7 linked regions of the Macaca fascicularis genome follow. The protein of the gene in region 1 interacts with the protein of each later gene in a pairwise test. Links are inferred from orthologs where the notes say so. Each region holds a gene or a part of one and is shown in the gene's direction. Other genes may lie near its edges.

What was found.
Region 2: the proteins of KCTD9 (region 1) and LONRF1 interact in binary tests that used the Homo sapiens proteins (3 or more experiments, as listed by UniProt). The two-hybrid records come from large-scale screens. The link is inferred for Macaca fascicularis from reciprocal best matches to the Homo sapiens genes KCTD9 and LONRF1.
Region 3: the proteins of KCTD9 (region 1) and EHHADH interact in binary tests that used the Homo sapiens proteins (3 or more experiments, as listed by UniProt). The two-hybrid records come from large-scale screens. The link is inferred for Macaca fascicularis from reciprocal best matches to the Homo sapiens genes KCTD9 and EHHADH.
Region 4: the proteins of KCTD9 (region 1) and NUP35 interact in binary tests that used the Homo sapiens proteins (3 or more experiments, as listed by UniProt). The two-hybrid records come from large-scale screens. The link is inferred for Macaca fascicularis from reciprocal best matches to the Homo sapiens genes KCTD9 and NUP35.
Region 5: the proteins of KCTD9 (region 1) and SDCBP interact in binary tests that used the Homo sapiens proteins (3 or more experiments, as listed by UniProt). The two-hybrid records come from large-scale screens. The link is inferred for Macaca fascicularis from reciprocal best matches to the Homo sapiens genes KCTD9 and SDCBP.
Region 6: the proteins of KCTD9 (region 1) and TRIM42 interact in binary tests that used the Homo sapiens proteins (3 or more experiments, as listed by UniProt). The two-hybrid records come from large-scale screens. The link is inferred for Macaca fascicularis from reciprocal best matches to the Homo sapiens genes KCTD9 and TRIM42.
Region 7: the proteins of KCTD9 (region 1) and SYT6 interact in binary tests that used the Homo sapiens proteins (3 or more experiments, as listed by UniProt). The two-hybrid records come from large-scale screens. The link is inferred for Macaca fascicularis from reciprocal best matches to the Homo sapiens genes KCTD9 and SYT6.

What each region holds. Positions count from the first base shown.
Region 1 is NC_088382.1:28,648,388-28,652,514, reverse strand, and holds the start of KCTD9 (BTB/POZ domain-containing protein KCTD9), read left to right. Parts: upstream 1-1,327; 5' UTR 1,328-1,531; coding exon 1,532-1,579; intron 1,580-2,225; coding exon of another isoform or gene 2,226-2,283; exon of another isoform or gene 2,284-2,481; intron 2,482-4,127. UniProt on the Homo sapiens protein: Substrate-specific adapter of a BCR (BTB-CUL3-RBX1) E3 ubiquitin-protein ligase complex, which mediates the ubiquitination of target proteins, leading to their degradation by the proteasome.
Region 2 is NC_088382.1:12,685,945-12,690,137, reverse strand, and holds the start of LONRF1 (LON peptidase N-terminal domain and RING finger protein 1), read left to right. Parts: upstream 1-1,393; 5' UTR 1,394-1,436; coding exon 1,437-2,157; intron 2,158-4,193.
Region 3 is NC_088376.1:97,125,400-97,127,876, reverse strand, and holds the end of EHHADH (peroxisomal bifunctional enzyme), read left to right. Parts: coding exon 1-662; 3' UTR 663-1,977; downstream 1,978-2,477. UniProt on the Homo sapiens protein: Peroxisomal trifunctional enzyme possessing 2-enoyl-CoA hydratase, 3-hydroxyacyl-CoA dehydrogenase, and delta 3, delta 2-enoyl-CoA isomerase activities. Catalyzes two of the four reactions of the long chain fatty acids peroxisomal beta-oxidation pathway.
Region 4 is NC_088386.1:78,717,134-78,720,021, forward strand, and holds the end of NUP35 (nucleoporin NUP35), read left to right. Parts: intron 1-331; coding exon 332-496; intron 497-1,755; coding exon 1,756-1,833; 3' UTR 1,834-2,388; downstream 2,389-2,888. UniProt on the Homo sapiens protein: Functions as a component of the nuclear pore complex (NPC).
Region 5 is NC_088382.1:68,553,354-68,556,853, forward strand, and holds part of SDCBP (syntenin-1), read left to right. Parts: intron 1-2,467; coding exon 2,468-2,629; intron 2,630-3,500. UniProt on the Homo sapiens protein: Multifunctional adapter protein involved in diverse array of functions including trafficking of transmembrane proteins, neuro and immunomodulation, exosome biogenesis, and tumorigenesis.
Region 6 is NC_088376.1:43,544,831-43,548,330, forward strand, and holds part of TRIM42 (tripartite motif-containing protein 42), read left to right. Parts: coding exon 1-469; intron 470-2,853; coding exon 2,854-3,078; intron 3,079-3,500.
Region 7 is NC_088375.1:120,219,533-120,223,032, forward strand, and holds part of SYT6 (synaptotagmin-6), read left to right. Parts: intron 1-465; coding exon 466-814; intron 815-2,366; coding exon 2,367-2,925; intron 2,926-3,500.

The sequences.
Region 1 (4,127 bases):
CCCAGCCTGTGCTAACCATTCTTCTACTCAAAGCGCGTACTTTTAAGGCCAAATTAAACAGAAAGAAATGGAGGAAACTGCTGTTCAGGCACCAAAGCAGACCCCAAAGGATAAGCCATGGCTTTTCAACCGAAGTGAAGACCTGAATCATAAGGGTACCCGTCTCAAGACGCAGCTCCGTCCATTTCCAGAAATTGTCTCAGCAGGTCCGGATGCACCCCTGGTCACCCAGAGCAGCTCCTGAGAGGAGTACTAACTCTGTGCTGCAGGGTAAGCCGAACAAACGCCATAAAAACGCCCCGGAGAAGCAGCCCCATGGCAGGGTGGCTGCAATCCTACCTCTCACGCCGCACCTGAAGGCCCGCCAGGCAGATAGGCTTAATCTCAGAGCCCCGAGGCAGGCGAGCTTCGCGTAGGTCGCTGCTTCCAGACCCCGGCTCCTCTGTCCGGAAGGGCTCTGCTGGCAAAGCACCCGTAGCCGGGAACCGCTCTCCGAACAAGGAGTCCAGGGTCCCTGAGGCCGACTCGGACTCACACCCCGCGCAGTCCCTGTCTTTCGCTCTGCCCGGCCGCCTCCTCCGCCCGCCGCCCGATTCAAATTCCCGGCCCCGCCCCTCGATGCCGAACTTACTCTACGAATCACTCCGCTACCGCCCCTTTCTCTGGTCTGCGCACACTCCGAGCCCTCCCAGTGACTTCCTGGGCTCGGAGTGGGGCCACCGCGAGCTGCAGTCAACCCGCCGACCACAGACACCTACTACTGACCTGTGACCGCGGGGACTACTTTCCAGGAGAGTCTCGCGGAGTAACGCTTCTGTTAGCGCTTTAACTCCGCCTCCCACCTTTCTATTGGATGCTGCAAACTTCGAAAAGACTCATTCAACCAATCCTAACAGAGCGAAGAGCTGGCTCTTACCCAATCACTCCGTCCCTACCGCAGCCGTTTCCTCGCTGGGCCGGCTTGTGGGCGGGGCTAACGCAGGAGGAGGGGCTGACTGGTGCTTGGGTCCCTTTCAGCGCTCCACCTCCTTTCCGTAGACCCCGCCCTCGTATGCAGATGAGCGCTACCTAGACTTGAGTGTGCGCCTGCTCAGTAACGCTGTAAGTCGCCGTCCGGCTCCAGGAGCCTCTCTGATTGGCTGATGCCCCTTCCCGTCTACTAGCCTTCAGCGTCTCTTCCCTCCCTCCATCCCGGCTAGGTTAGCCAGGGCCCGCCCGATACTGGGTGCTGATTGGCTGGACCCTGGCCGGTGACGCAGGTTGGTTGGTAGGCTGAATGTCAGTCTCGGAGAGGTGGGGGAAGGGCCCCAGGCAGGCTGAGGAGCCTAGGGGCGGGGTGGGAAGGAGGACCGGCCGAGCCCTGGGTGTGGGACAGAGTGCGTGTGTGTGGTGTGTCCCCAAGGGCAGGAAGGTGGCGAAGGGAGGCGAATCCGAGTGGGTGGAGGGAGGGGAAGGGCGGGAGGAGAAAAAGGTGGGAGTAGGACCAGGTGGGAGGGTGGCGGCTCACTCAGGACCCAGCGGGGGCAGCGCGATGAGGCGGGTGACCCTGTTCCTGAACGGCAGCCCTAAGAACGGAAAGGTAACGGGGGCGTGAGTGGGCGCGGCGGGCCGTGGGTCGGGGCGAGGGTGGAGGGTGCGGACCCGGCTGGCGGGGCAGCCGTGAAGTTGGGCAGAGGGGCTGGGAGGTGGGCGTGCGCGGGCTGGGGGCGCCCGGGGACAGCACAGGGTCCCCGCGGCCTCCTCCCGACCCTCAGGACCCTTGTCCCCGAGCCTGCCCTTCGGCGCCTCAGCTGCCTGGGGGCCGGCGCGGGTCGGGCCGGGGGCTCCGGGGCTCCCGGATGCGCGGTGCAGGGGGCGCGGGGACTGGGGAGCGGAGAGGGCCGCGGTCACCTGGGCGCCCGGGCGGTCGCGCCTCTTCCCGCCTGTCCCCGAGACCCCGCTCCCGCCTGCGGGAGGAGGCGCGCCGGCTCCCGTGCTGAGTAATGGTCTGCTCGGAAAGTGGCGGCGAGCACCAGAGCCTGTGGAGCTGGGTCAGGGAGACAGAAGTAAACTGCCCGTGGATAAACAAAATCTCCCATCCGAGGTCGAAGACAGGATTTTAAAAATGGGGGCATTTTCTTGTTGATTTTTGCCCTTCTCTCTGAGATGCCTCAAGCCCCCACTCCCCGACGCCGCCAAACTTCTCTGTACTCGTTTTATTATTTTGCCTTATTTTGATTCCCTAGAGGACGGGGACAGCAGACCCAAAAGGGATCGATTTGACAGTCGCCTTTGCTGTGTTAGGTAGGCCTTTGCGGAGGGTGTGGTGCTAAGTGTTCTTCCAGCGCTGGAGCAAGCCAAAATGAATTCTCTTCCTTCCCAGCCTTTTGCCCCACCCATGAAAGTTGTTCTGCTACTTTGGGAAATTTTGACTGTTCAAGGCAGACATTTACTGCGTTGCTAAATGACACCCAGAAGTAACTCAGCCTTTACGAGTCTAAGGTAAAGGTAAATGGGTTTCACTGTGTTAGTTGCCAAAATACTCTGGTGCCTGCACATTCGGGAAACACTGTAAATTTTTAAATAGTGAAATTGTCCAGTGGCATTAAAAATGGCTTTCCCGTTATTCAGTGTAGAGTAAACATGCCCTGAAAATTCGAACCAGAGTGTGGTTTGTTGGCTATAATTTTGTGTTCTTCTGATCCTAGAGATTTAATACTCATTTTAAAACAGAATTGGTATAAATTCGAGTTCTCGAGTTATCATGAATGCTACCCCGAAAATATGCTCACGAAGTTTACATTTCTCATCACTATTAACTTTTTCTAAACCTGTTCTGTAGTTAGCTGGTGTTATCTAAAACGTATGTTGTTACTCTAAGAAAGATTGAGTATATCCAAAATTGGTAATATTTCTCAAAAACAAACTTCCGATTGACCTTTTTAATGCAGTATCTCTGCTATGTTACTCATGGAAGACAAATATTTAGACCTAGTCATAAATATTTTTGCTCTAAATCTCTCCCGAATCCACTCAATTTGGTTGTCAAAAATTAACTGAGTTGGTCTTTCCATATTGTTCACACGGATTTTTTTTAAACTATCTAGTTTTGACTACATTCTTGGATTTAAATTTTATTTACTTTAAAAATATTCTGCTAGAGAATCTCAGAAGATTGGGGGAAATGCATCTCAAATAATTAAATATGAATATGTTCATGTTACAACGATCATAAAAATCCAAACTGGAGAATACTAGATAAAAAGAAACAAAGCCGTGATCTTCACTGCTCAGCTGATGAACATATTCTAAGATAACGTTGGCAGTGCTTTCTCTCCTTTCAGTTGATTAAAAAATTTTATAATTACTCTTATTTGACAAAAGAGCTACATAATACATAACAGCTTGCATTTTTATATATAAAGTGACTAATTGGATTGGCATGATCATGACATGAATGTTCATTAAGAATAAGCTAGGGAAAAGTGCTACTCAAATAGAACAGAATTTGATTTCCCATCCACCAGTTGGAATATCTGTACCACTTACTTTATCTCCTTTACCTCGCTTCTGCTTTTATTTCCTGGTTATAAGAATAATCTGTTTTTTTTCAAATAAGTTTCCCTCTTATAGCTTGTTTAGTGGTTACCAGACTGTGAGACTATAAAGCCCAGGGAAAGGTGTGGAGAGGCAGAGAATTCTTCCAAGGTGCTGTGTTACATGCTCACCACGAATTTTCTGTGTATTGAATAAATGTAACTAGTGGTGAATGTATTTGATGTTGGAGAGAGGGCTATGCATTCTCTGAACAGTGGTTTCCAGAGTGAGATGGCACACCACGGACGGTGTCCAAGATGATTTATTGGAGGTCAGGAAGAAATATACCTTTTGTTTGTATCTTACACTTAAAAATATAAAATAATATGGAAACGTGATTTTTTGGATCTGGAAAGACACAGGTGCCTCCAGTCATTGAACATGTCAGCTGGTCTCAGGTCTCCTGTAAGAAGGGAGGGCCTTCACATGTGAAAAGGTTAATTAATAGTGGCTTCTTCACTGATTGGTTGTCATTGACATTGTGCTGTGGAAGCTTACAACTGCCACGTTAAGATTTATATCTAGTTTTAACTAAATTAACCCTCACCAAA
Region 2 (4,193 bases), about 16 Mb from region 1:
TATTCATTCCCTTTAGGGTAATATATCTCTATCTTTTCTGACGTTACACGACTTGCTCATTGTGTAGTGAAAACACATTAACTCAAAACATTTTTTAGCCTTAATTGCCGTTCCTTATAAAGAGAAATATTAAACGTATACCATTTTCAGACATACTATGCTCACGTGAACTTTCCAATTAGCAACTTCCTTTGACAATCTATTTCTATGAAATATTACTATTATTTTATTAAATATTATATACGATCAGTCTAACGTAGTAACATAATAGTGGAATAGACGTGATCTTAAAATCTATATTAGCTGTGTGATTTTTGACAAATAACTTTCCCTCTGTTTCCCATCATTTGAAAAAGGACTAAAAGTTCTAAGTGACTCCTAACATTAACAATCTAATACCCTATAATCAAATCTATAAATATTTTCAGCGGAGAGCTTTAAACTTGCCGCTGTGAAGTTTAAGGGAAATAGCACCTATTATATATCAACCCCATCATTTTCTTCTGTTGGCAAAACTGCAGACCCTGCTTGGGTTGTAGTAATACGGTGACCGCCACGTGAAAAACATTTTTCTCGGTGTTTTCTTTTAAATATGCCAACTATAGACTTTAACCAGCTGTAAGGCAGTGCCTGAGGTGTGGAGACACCTGAGGAACTGTGTGGGCTTTCTCCCTCGAGGTGGGCCTACGATGAGTTTTAAGCAAAGGGCAGCAGTCACCTGGCACCAGGAAAAACTCCTTGCCCTCTGGAGGGAGTCGCCCCAGGAACGTGGGTTTTGTGTTCCTGTTTAAAGTTGAGTCCTCTAGAACCGAAGAGTCCCAGACATCTGCCGAAGGTGCCCTCCCAGGCCCCCTGCTTGGGAGCGCCCACCTGGAACCTGGGCATAGAGGAATGAAAATGCAGACCCGCACAAGCGTGAGGACACGCCGGGAGACCCCCGCCCGCCAGGAGTTGGGGCAGGTCCGGCTTGGGCGGGGGCGTCGGGGGAGGGGTGGTGACCCTGAGTCCCGCGCGGCAAGGGCGCGGGCCACCGCAGGTGGGGGCGTCGGCGAGCAGGCAAGCGGGGACGGAGACTCTGGGCTCCATCGGGCTTTGTTCCGTCACGAGCCGAGCCCTCCTTTCCGGAGAAGCCAATTAGATCTCCGACGGAGGAATCATCCGACCTGCGCCCCCGCCGGGAGGGGGCTCGGGAGGGGCGGGGCCCAGCGCTTGGCTCCTCGCGAGCGCGGCCGCGGGCTGCGTGGGGGAGTCCCGGCGCCGTCGCCGAGCCCGGCCCCGCCCTCGCCAGGCCCCGCCCTCGGGGCTTCCCGGGCGCGCGCCGCCCCGCCGTGTCCGCGCGCCACGCCCCCCTGCTCGCGGGCCGCGTGCGGAGCCGCGCGCCCGGGAGGCTCCCGGACCGTGGCGGCGGGCGGCGGCAGCGCAGCCCTCCGCGGGCCATGTCCTCTCCGGCGGTGGCGAGGAGTTCCCCGGGAGGGAGTCGGGAGATGGCCCCGGCGCCGCAGGGCCGAGGCCGGTTCTGGGAAGTGGGCGGCGGCAGCGGCCTTCGGCTGGAGCGCGCGGCCGCGGAGTCGGAGCGCTGGGAACTGCTGCTCCGCCGCGGGGAGCTGCTGGCGCTGGGCGGCCACCTGAAGGGCGCGCTGGAGGCGTTCGCGGCGGCGCTGCGCCGCGGGGCCCCGGCCAGGCCCGAGTGCCTGGGCGCCCTGGTGGACTGCCTGGTGTTCAACTACCGGCTCCGCCACGGGCTGAGCTGGAGCGCGGCCCCGGCTGCGGGCGCGGACGGCGGCGCCTGCGGGCTCCTCAGATGCCTGGGCTGCCGGGGCTTCCTGAGCGAGCCGGTGACCGTGCCCTGTGGCCACAGCTACTGCCGCCGCTGCCTGCGGAGGGAACTCCGCGCCCGCTGCCGCCTCTGCCGGGACCGGCTGCCGCCCGCCACCGCCAGTGCCACTGATGCTGAAGGGACCGCCCCGCGGCCGCCGCCTCTGGCAGCCGCCATCGCCGCCTCAGACTTCAGAACCAGCGTCGTCCTCAACCACCTGGCCGAGAAGTGGTTCCCGGGCCAGCGCGAGCGGGCCCGGGCGGCTGGCAGACTCGGGGAGCTGCTACACCAGGGGCGCTACCGGGAGGCCCTGGCCGCCGCCTGCGAGGCGCTGCGAGCAGGTGACCGCGCGGGGATGCGGCGGGGCCGGGCCGACCGCACCCTCCTGGCCCCGAGGGCCGGGGACCCGGAGCTTGTCTGCGTCCCGGGAGTCTCCTCTGCTTCCCCGGGGCCGCTGGGCCACTGGCGTGTTGGGTCTCGGGGTGCTGGGGGGTGTGGGAGGGGGCGGCGCCCCGGGGTGCTTCGGTCACAATGGGGATCGCCCTGGGAGCCGACTGTGACGCAGCGCGGGGAGGGGCGCTCGGCGCGGGGTTCCCTCGGCCGCGGCCTGGCCGTCGGGCGCGCGCTCCGGGCGCGGAGTGGGTGACCGGAGCCGTGGGTGCCCCGGCGCGGGATGGGTGGGAGCTGGGCTATCCCGAGCGGCCGCTCGCTTCCTGCCGCGCGCTTTCCGGGAATTGACTCTCTCGCGCCAGGCCCGCCGCGGGGAAACGACTGCCGGGGTGGGGAGAGAATCCCCCACGAGGACAACTAGGCCGGGAAGGCGGCGTCTCCCTTCCTCACCCACAAAAGTCACCGGGACAATTGGGAGCCGCGGGAGGGCAGAATTGCATAAGCTGGGGGCGGGGGTCGTTGTGTAACGGGTGACGTCCGGTGGGCGTGGCGGGAGCTCCGGGCGGGCACCCGGCCCCGGGAGGCCCCGCAGGCCGCCGGGCTTGGGGCGCGGGGCGGAGCTGCCCCGGGTGGTCCCTTGCTACCTGGAAATGCCTGAACTGGTTTCTCTCGAAAGTTTCAGCCGGCCTGTTTCAGATCATGCTTATTTCCTATGTACTTTGCAGTGCACCTAGCTTATGGTAAAGATGAGAGGGGCTTCCTGATCCAGAGTTCTTTGCCACGCTTCTCTTGGCCGTTCCACTTAGGATCAAGCTGTGGGGAAAGGCCTTGTAGGTCTTGAGTGCATTTCTTAGTCTCCAGGAAGCAGCCTCGGCCTCCTAACCTAGGTTAGCTAGCACTTTCTTCTTAAGGTGGTTTTAGGCGCTGAAAGGGGGCAGTGTCAAGCTTCTCTTATGTAAAAGGAAGAGTTGTTCTTTAAATCAGTAGTTCTTTACCAGCCGGATTTACCTCCCCTCTCTCAGGGGACATTATCTAGAGCAATATCTGGAGACATTTTTGGTTGCCACCTCTTGTGGGGGTGGTGCTGGTACCGACATCTAGTGGGAGAGGCCCGGGGTGCTGCTCAGACATCCTATGAGGCACAGCAGGATTCCCACAACAAAGAATTATCAGGCCCCAAGTGCCACTGTTGATAAACCTTGTGTTACGCGTATTTCAAGATTTTAGTGTCTATCCATTGGCATGATAGCTGGGGGAATGGCATGATAGTTGGGGGATAGTTGGGGGAATAATCCCCAAGAAAATAGACATCTAGAATAGCAGCTGACTTTAGGTATTACAGGTAAATTTATAGACTGTGTAACTGAAAGGATCATCTTTCGGGTCATCTTTTGTCCCAAGTGCTTAGTCATATTGAACTTACGTCAAGATCTTGCATTGTTTAATATCTTCAGAGTTCGAAGCACAAACACCGGAGATTTTTGTATTCTTTCAGTGCCTTTATGAGGAGTAGGCAGTTATAAAATAGAAAGATAGGCTCAGAACAAAAGAAAAGTGTTTGGAATACAGAATTCTGATACGGATGACTCTGTCCCTCTGGGTGAATAAAGAGAAGAGAAACTGGACTCCGCTGTACAGACCATCTAGTAACTGACCATGGTATGATTTTTAAAGCAAAGAAGCAGATGCCAGGCAGTGAAGACTTGCGCACAGTCACAGTGTTAACTGGTTGAGAGGCAGCGCTGTATCTTCCACTTCTCCTAAACGTTGGTCTAGGGTTCATCCTGCCTTATAGCTTATCTGATGAAAATGTTTATTATACATATCCAAAGAAGTTTTTTTGGTCACTGAGGCTGAAACTTATGGACAGTACTACTGATACAGTGATTCGACCTTAAATTAGGTGTTTCACAAGAATCCAGGTCCTGGGCCATGGAAGAACAGTGAACACATTTGCTAATTGAGGTCTAGCTTAACATTTTGTGAC
Region 3 (2,477 bases), on another chromosome or scaffold:
AGGTAGATCAGGTGCTGGAAGAGTTTGGTTTTAAAATGGGACCTTTTAGAGTGTCCGATCTTGCTGGGTTGGATGTGGGCTGGAAATCTAGAAAGGGGCAAGGTCTTACTGGACCTACATTGCCTCCAGGAACTCCTGCCCGAAAAAGGGGCAATAGGAGATACTGCCCAATTCCTGATATGCTCTGTGAATTAGGACGATTTGGCCAGAAGACAGGTAAGGGTTGGTATCAGTATGACAAGCCATTGGGTAGGATTCACAAACCCGATCCCTGGCTTTCCAAATTCCTATCACAGTATAGAGAAACCTATCACATTGAACCACGTACCATTAGCCAGGATGAGATCCTTGAGCGCTGCTTATATTCACTTATCAATGAAGCATTCCATATCTTGGGAGAAGGTATAGCTACTAGCCCAGAGCACATTGATGTTGTCTATTTACATGGATATGGATGGCCAAGGCACAAGGGCGGACCCATGTTCTATGCTTCCACAGTTGGGTTGCCCACAGTTCTAGAGAAGTTGCAGAAATATTACAGGCAGAACCCTGATATTCCCCAACTGGAGCCCAGTGACTATCTAAAAAAACTGGCTTCTCAGGGAAACCCTCCCCTGAAAGAATGGCAAAGCTTGGCAGGCTCCCCTAGCAGTAACTTGTGATTCAGCCTTCCAGATTATGCCTCACATGCTAGCATCAGGTAATGCTCACTGAATTTCAGTGAAATTAAATCAAAAATCCAAAGTAAGATTGTTCTGAAATACAAAGCAAAAGAAATAATCAGTAGAGTCTTCTGTGTGACGACTCTAATGGTCAAATCTTTAGGAATGTGCTTCCTATGCCTCTGAATCTGTCCTTATCAGATAAATTCAATGCATGAACTTGTGTGAATGTAATATCATAATCGCTGATGAAAGAGGCTCAGGCATAAGTTGAGATTCTCAAATGTTTTGATTATTGGATACATGTGTCATCAATTAATAAATGATAAATGCAGCTAAGTCATACATTGATTTTGACTCCTTTCAATGTCACACACATAGTATTGATCAGAAATCTTATGAATCATACATACACTCAACAAACATTGAAGTCGTAGGAAAAACATGGTTGGAAATTGGTAAGGGAACTGAGTACTTCAAACCAGCACAGGGAACTCAGATTAGTATGGCAAGCCTTTCCTCTTCTGGTCTTTCCTCTTCTGTTTATGAAGAAATAATAGAAAGGAGTAAGTCGTTAACTTAGTGTAAGAAGGGTCTTAGAGAACATCTAACCTTCTGGAATTTCCCAATTCTATGATAGAGTAATGACGCCAGTTTCCCTGTCATGACAGGCCTCTGTGATGTTACATATGGAAATGGTTGAATCTTGAAAAATCTAAAATTGTTGCAAAACATATTTTGTATAATTTTGTTATAAGAGTTCTTCTCTTTTTACTTTTTGCGTTGTGTAGTCAAAAATTAAGGGGCTGGTCAATACAAAAACTTGTACACAAATATTTATAGCAGAATTATTCATAATGGCCAAAAGTTGGATACAACCCAAATGTCTATTAACTAATGAATAGATAACTCTGGTATATCCATACAATGGACTATTATTCAGTCATAAAAAGAAATAAAGGACCAGGCACAGTGGCTCACACCTGTAATCCCAGCACTTTGGGAGGCTGAGGCAGGAGGATTGCTTGAGGTCAGAAATTTGAGACCAGCCTGGGCAACATAGCAAAACCCTGTCTCTATAAAAAATACTTCCTGTACATTAGTGGTTGCCTAAAGCTAGAATTAGGGATGATGGATGGGGAGTACAGGATTCATCTAATAGGTACAGGATTTCTCTATGGTTCATGAAAATGGTCTAAACTTATTGTGGTAATGGTCACATAACAATATATTAAAAACTATTGAGTTATATATTTTAAATGGGTGAATTATATGGTATGTGAATTGTATCTCAATAAAGTTGTTAGTAAATAAATGGGGCTGAAGATGTTATCCTTCATTGTGGTGGAAATGAACTTTCACAATATTTTCACCTGTGAACCCAAACAAAATGAAAGTTCTGATGGAAAAATCTTGAATGAATAGAGTATAAGTTTTCCGTTGTTAAAGAGCAAACAAAAAACCAACAAAAAATCCAAGTGTGCCTTGAATTGTACAGAGCACAATTATTACGTTTGAAATATATACTACTTAATTTTATATAATTTGGTTTGTGAAATTAAAGACATCAATGAAAATGATTCCTGAAAGTAGTAATTTTGTCTCCAAAGTGACTTGTTTTCAAATTAATGTTAAAAAAAAACCCACTAACTTTTTCTTCAATCCTGGAATTAATTTTGAGTTCTTGCAACTTATTTTCACCCTACACTAGCCTCTAGATTGAGGTTTTGAAATTAGAGCGTCTATGAATAGATTTTATCAGTCAATAACCCCTGAAATGTTATGATAAAGTTTGTGTATATGTATCTGAGTACA
Region 4 (2,888 bases), on another chromosome or scaffold:
TTGGATTTTGATTCTTTTCCAGGTTTCCCTAAGAACTTTTTTTGTCCTTGATGATTTTTCATAGTGTTTTAGGAAATTCTTATTTTTGTGGTCTATAGTTGTATTGAGATTGTTTGAGGTCACTGAAGTGAGATTTCTGGCTGAGCATTCAATCTCATGCTACCTAAGGAGCAAATGTTTTCTCAAGCTTAAAATTATTTGGAAGTTTAATTAGAGCAAATAAAGTATTTCATCCTTATCTTTTAATTAAATTTTCTTTCTAAGTAGACTGTAATACTGGATGATATGTATTACTTTTATAAACAAAGGAGTTGTTTCTTTGTTTCTCTAGAGTGTTATGGAAAGCAGTGACAGATGTGCTTTATCATCTCCATCTTTAGCCTTTACACCACCAATCAAAACTCTAGGTACACCAACACAACCTGGAAGTACTCCTAGGATTTCTACCATGAGACCTCTTGCTACAGCATACAAAGCCTCTACTAGTGATTATCAGGTATTTTAAGGATTAGATAAAAAAAAGATGTACCTTAGCGGCTGAGTGCATAGCATGCTTAACTTTTTCATTGTGTTGATTTGTATGCTATTAAATGTTTCTTGATGAGGCTATTACCTTGATGAAACCTTTACACTTTAAAAATTTTCTTTTTTAAAGTTAGCATCTTGGCCAATTGGAAAGTTATCATGAATTAAAGAACAATTTATTTGCCATTCCTTAAAATTTTTTGAGAGTTGTTTTAGCTTTTTCTAAGTTATATTTGCATACATACAAAATGTATCCCATGTACATCTTTGACATGAGGGCGCATTAAAGCACTATTAAATTGGTGACTAAATTGATGGTATCCAAAGTGCAGAACCTTAGGTTGGAGTAGCTTTGGTTATTGAAATGAAGACATTGACCAACTCCCATTCAGACAGAAAAAAATTTCTCATTTCAAAAAAGCTTAAAGAAGTTAATTATGTTCTTCGAAGAATGGTAGAAGTATTATGACCTCATTCAGTATATTATTGTCTCCTACTGAGTAGCCAAGTGTTTGAACTTAACCAGCTGCAGAAACAGGTCCTGCAAACACAGTACATGAAACACTTGTGCTTTAGTAGGGCAGATAGTGGTAGTTCAGTTTTTTGACTTCCTCTGAAATTTGGAGATCATTCTAGAACTGTTTCTTTAGTTTCTGTTACTGTTATTTTAAATTTCCCATTTTTTGCAGCTTTTGTTTTATTTAGTTTTCTTTCTTTTGTTTTGAGATGGAATCTCACTCTGTTGCCCAGGCTGGAGTGCAGTGGTGCGATCCCAGCTCACTGCAACCTCTGCCTCCTGGGTTCAGTTGATTCTTCTACCTCAGCCTCCTGAGTAGATTACAGGCACGTGCCACTACGCCCAGCTAATTTTTTGTATTTTTAGTAGAGATGGGGCCATGTTGGCCATAGTGGTCTTGAACTCCTGACCTCGAGTGATCTGCCCACCTTGACCTCCCAAAGTGCTGGGATTACAGACATGAGCCACTGCACACAGCTATTAAATTTTCTAATTTAAGAAACAGATATTATTTGCTTTTCCAAAGAAATGAAATTTTGGCATTCTTAAAAGCATAAGGATATTCTAAGTCCATATATTAATTTTAAAAATATACAATTCAGTGCTATACATGCATTTTGGTGTTTCTCTTTTAAATGAGCAATTCTAGAATTGACTATGACACTGAAGTAACAATAACCTAACAGCTTTGTGTGTGTGTGTGTTTTTAATAGGTTATTTCTGACAGACAAACGCCAAAAAAAGATGAAAGTCTTGTATCCAAAGCAATGGAGTACATGTTTGGCTGGTAGTAGAAGACCAAGGAGGAGGTTGCTACACTAAAACCGAGTTAGCAGAGTGCTGCTGGTTCCTTCGGTTAGTTATATAACCGTTCCTGCAATATTGGATAGCTGTCTCATACTTCTTTTAGAAAGAAGCCTTTTTCATTAAGGATACAGCCTTTTTGTAGCTCGCACTTTAAAAGATGCTTGAGATACATTTTAAAGAAAACTAAAAATCCCTGTGAATAGGATTTTGTGCTTTCTGTAACAGTGCATGCTTCAGCACCGAAAACTCAGCATTGATTATTGTAAATTAAATAACTGAAATTGTGGTGAGACTTCTTAGTCTTCATGAGAACGTGGGGGTGAATTTCATGAAGGGGAACTGTAGTTATTTCTACTGACACAAAGATTATAATTAGCAATTTGAATTATGGTCTTTTAATTTAGATAGTATTTAATATTTTAATTATCCTTGTTTGTATATGTCCTGTCACAGAATGTCCTCTTGATGTATTCTAAAACGAGCATTCTTTTTAAAAACTTACTACTAAAGTTTCTTGATAATAAACCTTGTCAATGATATGTGTATTCGTCTGTTTGCATTGCTATAAAGGAATACCTGAGGCTGGGTAATTTATTAAAAATAAAAGAGGTTTATTTGGCTCAGGGTTTATTTGACTTGTAGCTGTACAAGAAGCGTGATGCTTTACTCATGGAGGAAACTGAAGGACAGTGAGCATATCACATGGTGAAAGAGAGGAAGAGAGCAGGAAGAAGGAGGTTCTAGACACTTTTCAATAACCAGATCACACATGAACTCATTACTGCAGGGAGGGCAGCACGCCATTCATGAGGCATCTGCCCCCATGATCTAAACATCTCACTCTAGTCCCCACTTCCAACATCGGGGATCATATTTCAACATGAGATTTGGTGGGGACGGATATCCAAATGATATCAATATGTATTGAACATTTTTTGAAAGGGCAGTTTATTATAAAAAGCTTTAAGTACTTTTTGAAAGAGAAAATATGTTATGAACCACTATATACCAGCTTTAATTACCATTAAATTTTGCCATA
Region 5 (3,500 bases), about 40 Mb from region 1:
ATTGCAGATAGCTAGTTGCTTCTCCTAGGACTGGGATGACACAGGGGAGAGACTGGAGTTAGCAGAACCTAGAACCTTGAGGGAAGAGCCCCGCAGAGCTGGGACTCAGACCTCGAATGAGGGGACACTACTGGTGCCTCTGAGGGGTTGTAATGAGGCTGGTTCTGGGAGTGTCAGTAAAAGCTGCAGACTGGAACCAACTGCTACTGCCAGGGTAAAGGGCCAGGCTTACACAGTACTGACAGGAGCAGGAAGCACAAAGGAAGGAACGAGGTGCTTGTCACTCCAGTCACTGACAAACAAAATTATAATTTGCACAGTTAGGCCCAGCATCACCAAGTAGAGTCTAGAAGGGTGGATTTGGAGCTGACAAATAGTAGCTTAATATCTGTTACCACCTACTCCTTTGACTACTAGTATATCCACACACTTGTACAGATACTTGAATTTCATTTGACAACAACAACAACTTTATACTTTCTCCTTAAAAGATGAACTTCTTCATAAAATCAGAGTTCAGCAAACTTTATAAAGGGCTTCATAATAAATACCTTAGGCTTTCATGGTCACTTATGATCTTTATCACATATTCTTGTTGTTTTTTTGTTTATAATCTTTAAAAATATAAAAATCATTTTTAACTCAGGGGTGTACGAAATGAAGCCATGTACCCCTCGATATAAATGAAGTTGCTCTCACCCTTTCTCTAGAAAGGGATGATACCAGTTAATGTGGCCATCTCTGGGCAGTGGTCATGGTATTGATTACTATATGATATTAATTACCCTTATAAGTATTCACATTCACAACAGAATATTTTTAATTTAAAGGCAAAAGTGTAAAGTTAACCACTACTAGCAATTCATACATAAAGGTAAAAGGAGGTATAGAGGAACAGAAAGATTAATTGCTGTATTTACAGGAAATATACAAATACAAAGAAGAGAGTCATAGCTGCTCTGATTCTTATTTTAGTAACTGATCATGAGGCTGTAGTTAAAATTTAGAACTTCCTTTGTTCATTAAATGGATGCTTAGATCCCTTTGCCCTTGGGCAATACTTCAGCTGGTCTTTTTTTAAAAAAAGTTAATACCTAGAAGGGTGACCTAAACCTTCATTTTTTGTGTCTGCATATCCAGGGTTCTTCAGTGCGCCACCTTTTCTTTTTCTTCTGTTTTATTTTAAATTAATTTGTTGCCGGAGATTTCTGTTAACTCTTCATATCTAGTGAATTTTTCATTTCATATATTTTATTTTTCTTCTCTTGATGTTCCATCCGGATCTTCCTCTCCCCAGCTATTTATTGAGGTATAATTAACAAATAAAAATTGTTTATATTCAACTGTATATCTCAATACAACTTGATGTATTGATAAACAAACACACACAAACACACACATTGTGAAATGATTACCACAGTCAAGGTTATTAACATATCTGTCACCTCACATAGTTATATTTCTTTTGGTGTGTGGTGAGAACACTTAAGATGTACTCTTAGCAAATTTCAAGTATACAGTACAGTATTATTAACTATAGTTACTATGCTGTACATTAGATCTGTAGAACGTACTCATAACTGAAAATTTGTACACTTTGACCAACATTTTCTCATTCTTTGCCCTGCCCATCCCCAGCCCCTGACAACCTCCCTTCTAGTCTCTACTTCTGTGAGTTTGACTCTTTTCAGATTCCACGTATAAGTGAGACCCAGACGGTACTTGTCTTTCTGTGTCTGGCTTATTTCACTTGGAATAATATTCTCTATGTTTATTCATGTTGTCCAAATGGGAGGATTTCCTCTTTTTAATGGCCTAATATTGTTCCATTTCCTTTTTGGTTGGGGAAAGGTTCCACTTAAAATAAGACACCAGTTTTGGTTAGGAAAACTTGAAAAATTAGAAACTTGTAACATGGTACCTGACACAGGTCCCTAATGTAGGTAATCTGGAGCATTCTGGTTCGTGCATATGATTTGTTAATCATAATAATAGATGGTTATTAGAGGGGAGGAGACATAATAGTTGACTCTCTTTTGTGTGCCAGTGCCCATGCACTTTTCATTTAATCCTCCCAGTAACACTGAGGTAAGAAGTTTGCCTCTTGTTTGGAAATTCTGAAAGGATAAGCAGATTGTCAAAGATTGTGACATAAAGAACCGTCTGGAAAATATTTCAAAAGTATATGGCCTTTAAGTTCAAAGATAATACATTTGAGATGAAGACAAGCCAATATACTGGTGAAACAAATGCCAGTGAATTCAAAGGACAAGAGAGAGTCATTGAATCTGTTAGAGATGATATGTGTGGGAATAAGTTAGTGAAGAATTAGTAATAGAGCCAGTGCCATTTTCATAGACATCAAACTTTATCTGAAGGAAATTATTTGTGGATTGCCCAGTTAATTATCATTGTTCTTTTCAAGGAGTGTTTCTAAATATTGACACATTGTATACGGTTTTGTCAGCAGTTGGTAGCAAGACCTTCCAGTGTGAACTATATGGTGGCTCCTGTAACTGGTAATGATGTTGGAATTCGTAGAGCAGAAATTAAGCAAGGGATTCGTGAAGTCATTTTGTGTAAGGATCAAGATGGAAAAATTGGACTCAGGCTTAAATCAATAGATAATGTAAGTATTTTAAATACCTATTTGAATTTGTCTAAATATCTTACATAATTGATTAACGTTAAAATAATTTGAAATGGAAATGCTTTAATTATAATAGTGCATCTGTTGTTGAGAATATTTTAAATCTACTAACTTAAATTTGTTCAGTTGGGGACGTTCTATTTTGCAGAGGCATAGCTGGGACTTCCAACCACATTACTTTGAAAGATGTTTTTCTTTTCTGAATATTCTAACTGGAATACATTTCACTGGCCTACGTATATTATAATGTACTTTGTATAATAGAATTGTGGCAATTAAATAGAGCAGATGTGAAGGTTAAGAAAAAACTGACCAATAATAGTCAATGTCGGTGTGCCTTTTTTTTTTTTTTTTTTTTTTGAGACACAGTCTCGCACTGTCGCCAGGCTGCAGTGCAGTGGCGCGATCTTGACTCACTGCAACTTCCGTCTCCCAGGTGTGTGCGCATTTTTAAACCAAATGATCGGTATTTAACTTGTGAGGTGGTTTTTGCAGATTTGTTATTAACATCCTTCATATTTGAATTTAATAGGTCATTTTTTGAGTTTTTTGAGTAAAAGTTTCTTTCTAATTAGGGCAGCCATTACTTTATAATTACCTCTCACCTTAATATACTGAATATATGAAACAGGGTTACTCTCTGAGGAACCATTTAGAATTGTTAAGGACGTGCTGAGTCTTTACCCCAATTTACAGTTTCAGCCATTACCTTATTGGATTCAGTTTCAGTCATACATCTGTAGCTTAGTGCATCCAGCCTTTCAACACAGAAAATGGTAAGTGTGGTGCACTGCTGTAAATGGAGGAGGCTGATCTTGGCAGGAAGCCCCAACCCTGCCTGCCCACCCAG
Region 6 (3,500 bases), on another chromosome or scaffold:
CCCACAGCTCCGGCTACACTCAATAAACTGCATGCCCTTGGACTTTGTTGAGCTTTCCAGTGCCATCCATGAGCTCTTCCCCACAGGGCCCAAGAAGGTATGCTCCTCAGGGGACTCACTGCCCTCCCCCTACCCTGTGCACTCAGAAACAATGATTGCCAGGAAGGTCACTTTCAGCACCCACAGCCTCGGCAACCAGCAGATATACCAGCGAAGCTCCTCCATCTTATCCTTCAGCAACACTGAGGAGAAGGCCAAGGTGGGTCTGGAGGCCTGTGGGAGAGCCCAGTCAGCCACCCCCGCCAAACCCACAGATGGTCTCTACACCTACTGGTGTGCTGGAGCAGACAGCCAGTCTGTACAGAACAGCAGCAGCTTCCACAACTGGTACTCATTCAACGATGGCTCTGTGAAGACCCCGGGCCCAATTGTTATCTACCAGACTCTGGTGTACCCAAGAGCTGCCAAGGTAAGAAAAGTTCTGGGCCCAGTGGGGAAGGTGGGAGGGTTTGGGGTACAGAGTAGAAGTCAGTAGTCAGGAAAAGTTGCACTTATCTCTTTGACCTCTAGGATCTGGTCACTCAAATCTGCTCCTCTAGACTCTTTGTGGTCATCCCATTCAAAAGGGATAAGTTCCGGGAATCTTAAGTAACCCAAGATTAGCTTAAACCAAACAGTCAATATATTTAACTTATAGTCGTAAATATATCTGAAAGCCCTACCTCCACTGCAAAGGCAACTTCTCAACTGAAAGAGAACCCTATTTGGGAACCAAAGTAATTTGAAGACACTACTTGGCAGTGTAATGTTTCCCAAAGGAAAGCCTGTAATAGAGACAGCACAGAAATTGGAGTTACAAATGCAGGCTCCATTACCTACCAGCTGTTTCCTCTAAATTGCTACCTTTCCTAAAGCAAATATCCAGACTCTCTATGATTTGGAAAAATTGGGAGGATCATCCCCAATGAAATTTCAACTCTTTTGAGATTCAACCCGCCTTGAAGGCAGAGAGTGAAGAGTGGGGTCTCTCACAGATCTCTATAAGCGCCATTGCCTGGCTTCAAGGAACATGACTTCCCTTTGACCCTCTTGACCTAACATGAACAACATGAACAAATGACCTTTTCTTTAACATACCTTTCAAATCTAGTTGAACCCACATTGAATTGTTTGTAGAACACTTTATTAAGGTTTATGGAGGAAAAAAATTAACGTGCAATGAAATATTCTATTTGAGTTCCTCTTTCCTCCTCTTGGATTTTTTTCTAGAGTCAGCCCATGTCCTGCTCCCACGTGGCAGAGTTCATCTTTTGTCTCTCATAATCTGAGAACACTCCCAAAGACTTTTAGATCCTTGAGTTCTAAACTAGCAGTTCTCAAACATCGATGTGCACCTGGGGATCTTGTTAAAATGCAGATTCTATTTTAATAGGTTTCAATGGGGCCTGAGATTCAGGTTATCACAAACTTCCAGGTGCTGCCAATGCTGCTGTCTACAGCCCACACTTTATTATTAAGGATCTAAAAAATGAAGGCCAGACACAGACCAAGCTCTACTTTTCCATTCTCCTGACACATCATAATCTATGTTTTGTTGTCTATAACTGACACAAAGAACAACCCATACTTTGCAAGATAGAACATTCCATGGGCTATTGACATAATGAAGTGTTTCTGCCCTTCACATAAGCAATGCCCATAACTGAGCAGCTGAACTACATTTCCAAATGATACTAGATCAGCAAGGCCTATAGTGTATGCTTATTACCTCAGGGATAGCACTGGGTCTCATCTCCTGACCAACTCAGACCTCTTGAGAAGTTGGCAGGCTCTTGCTATGGAGCCAGAGAATTGGTAGTATCTGCTCTATACCTGGGCATGGAAAACAGTCACCCCATGCCACCTATTAGTCACCCCTGATGAGCTCAAAAAAGGGACCTATGCAAAACAACTCAGTCAAGTCATTTGCTGTCAAAAGAGGACACCTAAACCTATTTCCAGATAGTGATATTCGATTTTAAAATATCATTGATTCATATTTTAGGATAATGGAATGGACTTCATACAGGAATCATAGTGCTTAGCAATGCAGAAGATTAAGTCTATGTTAACATCACTCTCAAATCTTTAGGATTTTAGCATGGAAAATATTCTAAAACTTAATGTTGTAACTTTTCAATATGTACAGTTAATATCCTAGAGATTTTTTAAACTCAATTTTAGTTCTAGGAATCTCTTCCAAGAAAATTCTTAAAAATTCAGACAAATATTTATGCCCAACAGTATTTATTACAGCATTTATTAGAGTATAAAATTAGAAACAACCTAAATGTTCAACCATAGAAGGATTAAATTATTTCGGGAGAAATTTTAAAGATGGTAGTTTACCGAATTTTTAATGATTTAGGAAAACATACAACATAAGTAAAAGAAAATAGAAATCAAAGCAACATAATCCAAGTTATATACATATATGTTTGTGTGTGTGTGTGTTCTGAAATTGCAAAGAAATAATAATGAATTAACTGAATTGTGAGATTACGAGTGATGTTTATTTTCTTCCCCTCTATTTTTCAGTATTTTTCAAGCAGGAGGACAATTGTCACCTCCACGTTGGCTGACAGTAACAGTCACAAACCTTCTGTTTGTGAAACTCATCACAAGCATCATGCCAGGCCTCATCACACAGCCTTTCAAGACTTATGCATAGTCTAATTAAAAGTCTTCGGCAGCTACAGGGGATAGGGTCAGCTTAAACTCACCCCACAGATAGTCAACATCACAAATCTTTAATGGAAAGAAAACTGAATGATGTATACTAGTACCACACCAGTATGTTCATTTCTTCCATAGGTTTACTGGACATGTCCAACAGAAGACGTGGACTCTTTTGAGATGGAATTCTATGAAGTCATTACTTCCCCTCCTAACAACGTACAAATGGAGCTCTGCGGACAAATTCGGGACATAATGCAGCAGAATCTGGAGCTGCACAACCTGACCCCCAACACAGAATACGTGTTTAAAGTTAGAGCCATCAATGATAATGGTCCTGGGCAATGGAGTGATATCTGCAAGGTACTGTGTACATTATTTCTCCGATTTTTTTTTTTCTATGATAGGTTCTGGATGAGACCCTGTTAAGATGATCATGAGATTATAGAGCTCACCATGGGACTCTTCCTCTAAGCACAGAACATTTGTTAACTTGAGGCCAAAGAGAGGGCTGCTGGCCTCAACCAGACTTCGCAGATGAAGCCTGAGAATTGTTCTATTTGATTCAAAAACATTTGTTCTAGGCATTGTGTAGAGATGTAGAGATTCAGAGGAAAATAAACATAATCCCTGCCTTCAAGGTGCTCAGGGTCCATAAAAAAATAAGTGTTGTGTGAGAAGGATATGAAATGATTGTGGTATGAGAAAGATAAAAATGAGGTGCTATTCTCAGGCAAGGATGGGGTGCCAGATTTAACAAATAAAAATATAGGATGCCCAATTAA
Region 7 (3,500 bases), on another chromosome or scaffold:
AAGGAAGTAGGCTGTAGACAAAAATGACTCGTAAGTCTGGCCATAGTAGCAGCTTTAATAGAAATTCAAACAGCGTCTGAACATGCATGCTTCACGAATTTGCACATTTGCTTAGGCTACTATTTAAATTACTTTCCTTTCCCTGTGCACACGCCAATAGGCAGTAGAGAAGACAGCCCAGGTGCTCCCCAAGCTGGCTGGGGGGAGGGGGTGGGGGCGGGAAAGAGGATGATGCTGGAAGAATCAGATTGAGGTGAACACAAGGCTGCAGATATTCCACGAAGTGGACAATCAAGAGTCAACCCTGAAACCACCTCTCCCTCTGACCTGGCAGCTTTCTCATGACCATTCTTCTCTCTTCTTCCGTCTTTGTCCCTTCTGTGTGCCCCCTCCTCCAACACCCTCACCCGCTTCTCCCCGCCTCTGTCTGTCTGTCCCTCCCTGCCTGGCTCATGCCGAGGGCAGGCACCTCTGTCAGCCTCCTCGCAGTTGTAGTTATTGTGTGTGGCGTGGCCCTGGTGGCAGTTTTTCTCTTTCTCTTTTGGAAGCTGTGCTGGATGCCCTGGAGGAACAAGGAGGCCTCCAGTCCCTCTTCTGCTAATCCCCCCTTGGAAGCCCTCCAGAGCCCCAGCTTCAGAGGCAACATGGCGGACAAGCTGAAGGACCCCAGCACCCTGGGCTTCCTGGAGGCGGCCGTGAAGATCAGCCACACATCCCCAGATATCCCAGCTGAGGTGCAGATGTCGGTCAAGGAGCACATCATGCGTCACACGCGGCTGCAGCGGCAAACTACAGAGCCAGCCTCATCCACCAGGTGAGGAGTGGACCGCTCCCTTCCCTGATCCCACACCTCCACACTCCCTTAATACATCTATGGGATTCCAGCCTGTGAGGATCAGAGATCAGAAATAATAACACATATCCTTTGATGGAGAAATATGTCAGAAGATGTGATCCATGATGGGTGATCAACGAGGAGGAAAGACTTCACGAAAGGGAAACCTTTGAGGCTGGTTGCTGTACATGTGGTGTGCACTTGGGGTATGTGTGGATATGAGGGGAATGGAATAGTGGAATTGGGGAGTGTCGGATGTTTGGAAGGAAAGGCTTCAGGCAGAAGGAAGAGAACGGCAAAGGCCTGGAGAGGTAAGAGTTCATGGTGTGTTTAGGGATATGTCTGTAAAGCCCGATAGCTACAGTCTGCAGTGCGTGGCAGATAAGGCAAGAGAGTCTTAATAGTTTGAGAATGAGGATTCCTTTAAAGCCTTTCAGAGTTCCCTGTATGACAACAATTGTAAATACATACAGCATCCTTTAACTGAAAATAGCAACAAGAAAAACGTAACGACAAAAACCTACCCCAAATTCAGAAATACTTTTAAAAGATGTGGCGCAAGCATGTGTAAGGCATTGTATTTACTCAAAACTTAGGGCTCTGATGGATTCCTAGGTCCCTGCAATGGCTCTCCAGGCCCTCAGGGGACCAACCAAAGAGAATGAGTCCTGATCTTCAGACTGGAGGCCAGGAATGAACATGCTAGGGGTCACACTGACAGTTTGTCATATGGCCTTGGGCAAGTTCCTCACCTTCCCTTAGCCTCGCTTTTTCCAACTGTAAAATAAGGCTGATGACTTATATGGCAGTTGTGAGGAGCCAATGGAAGAATGAATGTAATCGATAAGGAGAGCTAACACATATATTGCTTATGATTATGCTTGGCTCTGTTCTAAGCACTTCATATGTAATCAATTCATTTTACTCTCACAGCAATCCTATGTGGTTGTTACTTTTATTATCCTCGTTTTTATGGCACAGAGAGGTTAAATAACTTTCCCAAGATCTCAACTGGAAAGTGACAGAGCCAAGACTGACCTATGCAGTCTAACTCCAAAGCCCATGCTTTTACCACTCCGCTGCCTGCTGTATAGCAAATGCCCAACAAATGGAGATGCTGATGACGGTGATGAAGGGGGTGCCACACTGATGATAAGAAGGGATGGTCCTTCTCTTAAGGGATCTCATGATTTAATAAGGAAACCAGAGTTTTGTCTACTAGGAAGTAAACCTAAAAAGCAGGTAACAGAAAAGCAGGAAAAAGTGATTATGATAGCAATGGCTAACATTTATTGAGCTTACTATATATCAGGCGCCATTCCAACTACTTTACATATATTAAGACATGTAATGCTCACCACAACCTTGTACACCAAGTGTGTGCAGAGGAAAAGTGGGGTCAAGAAGAGGAAGGAAGAGGGGGCTCAACAAGGGATACAATGAGCCAGGGCTTCCAGGCTCGTGTCTGCCTTCATCCCCCTTCCCCTGAGCCCTGACCACACTCCCTCTGCCCCCTCCTGCCCTCTACCAGGCACACGTCCTTCAAGCGCCACCTGCCAAGGCAGATGCACGTCTCCAGTGTAGACTATGGCAACGAGCTTCCACCAGCAGCAGAGCAGCCCACCAGCATTGGCCGCATCAAGCCTGAGCTCTACAAGCAGAAGTCGGTGGATGGGGACGATGCCAAGTCTGAGGCCACCAAAAGCTGCGGGAAGATCAACTTCAGCCTACGTTATGATTACGAGACGGAGACCCTGATTGTGCGTATCCTGAAGGCTTTTGACCTCCCTGCCAAGGACTTTTGTGGAAGCTCTGACCCTTATGTCAAGATCTACCTCCTGCCTGACCGCAAATGCAAGCTGCAGACCCGGGTGCACCGCAAGACCCTGAACCCCACCTTTGATGAGAACTTCCACTTCCCTGTGCCCTATGAGGAGCTGGCTGATCGCAAGCTGCATCTCAGCGTCTTCGACTTCGACCGCTTCTCCCGCCATGACATGATTGGTGAGGTCATCATGGACAACCTCTTTGAGGCCTCTGATCTGTCTCGGGAAACCTCCATCTGGAAGGACATCCAATATGCCACAAGTGTGAGTACAGCCCTGTTCCTTGGCTTTTTGAGGATTTGTGGTTCTGGGTTGGGTTGGACATGTCCCCAACCCCTCATTTCCTAGAGACAAATGGGCCTTTTCCTTTTGGGATAGGAAGAGGGACTCTGGAAACTGCCCAGTGGCCCAGCCTACCCTTGCACTCTGCCCCAGGTTGGAATGGCAGACAGCAGAGTCCCCATGTAGCTAGGAAGGGGAGGGATTTTTTATCTGTGGCTTCTGGTTGCATGTTCTGGGATGGTTCTTTCTACTGAGAGTACTGATATAGAGAGTACTGATATAGATACAGAAACCTGGCATAGGCAATCGAAACAGGCCATATCAATTAGGCTGAACCAGGCTATGCTGCAGCAGCAAACGATCTGAGGATTTTGTGGCTTTAGACAACCAAAGTTTATGCCTTGTTCATGTTTTGTGTGCTTTGCATCTGGGCTGGGGACTCTACTCCACCTTGTTACCTGGGGACCCAAGCCAACAGACGCTGCATTTAGACACGGGCCCCCACAGTTAAACATCAGGAGGAAGAGGAAGTGGCAAATCATGCACTGTTTATTAAA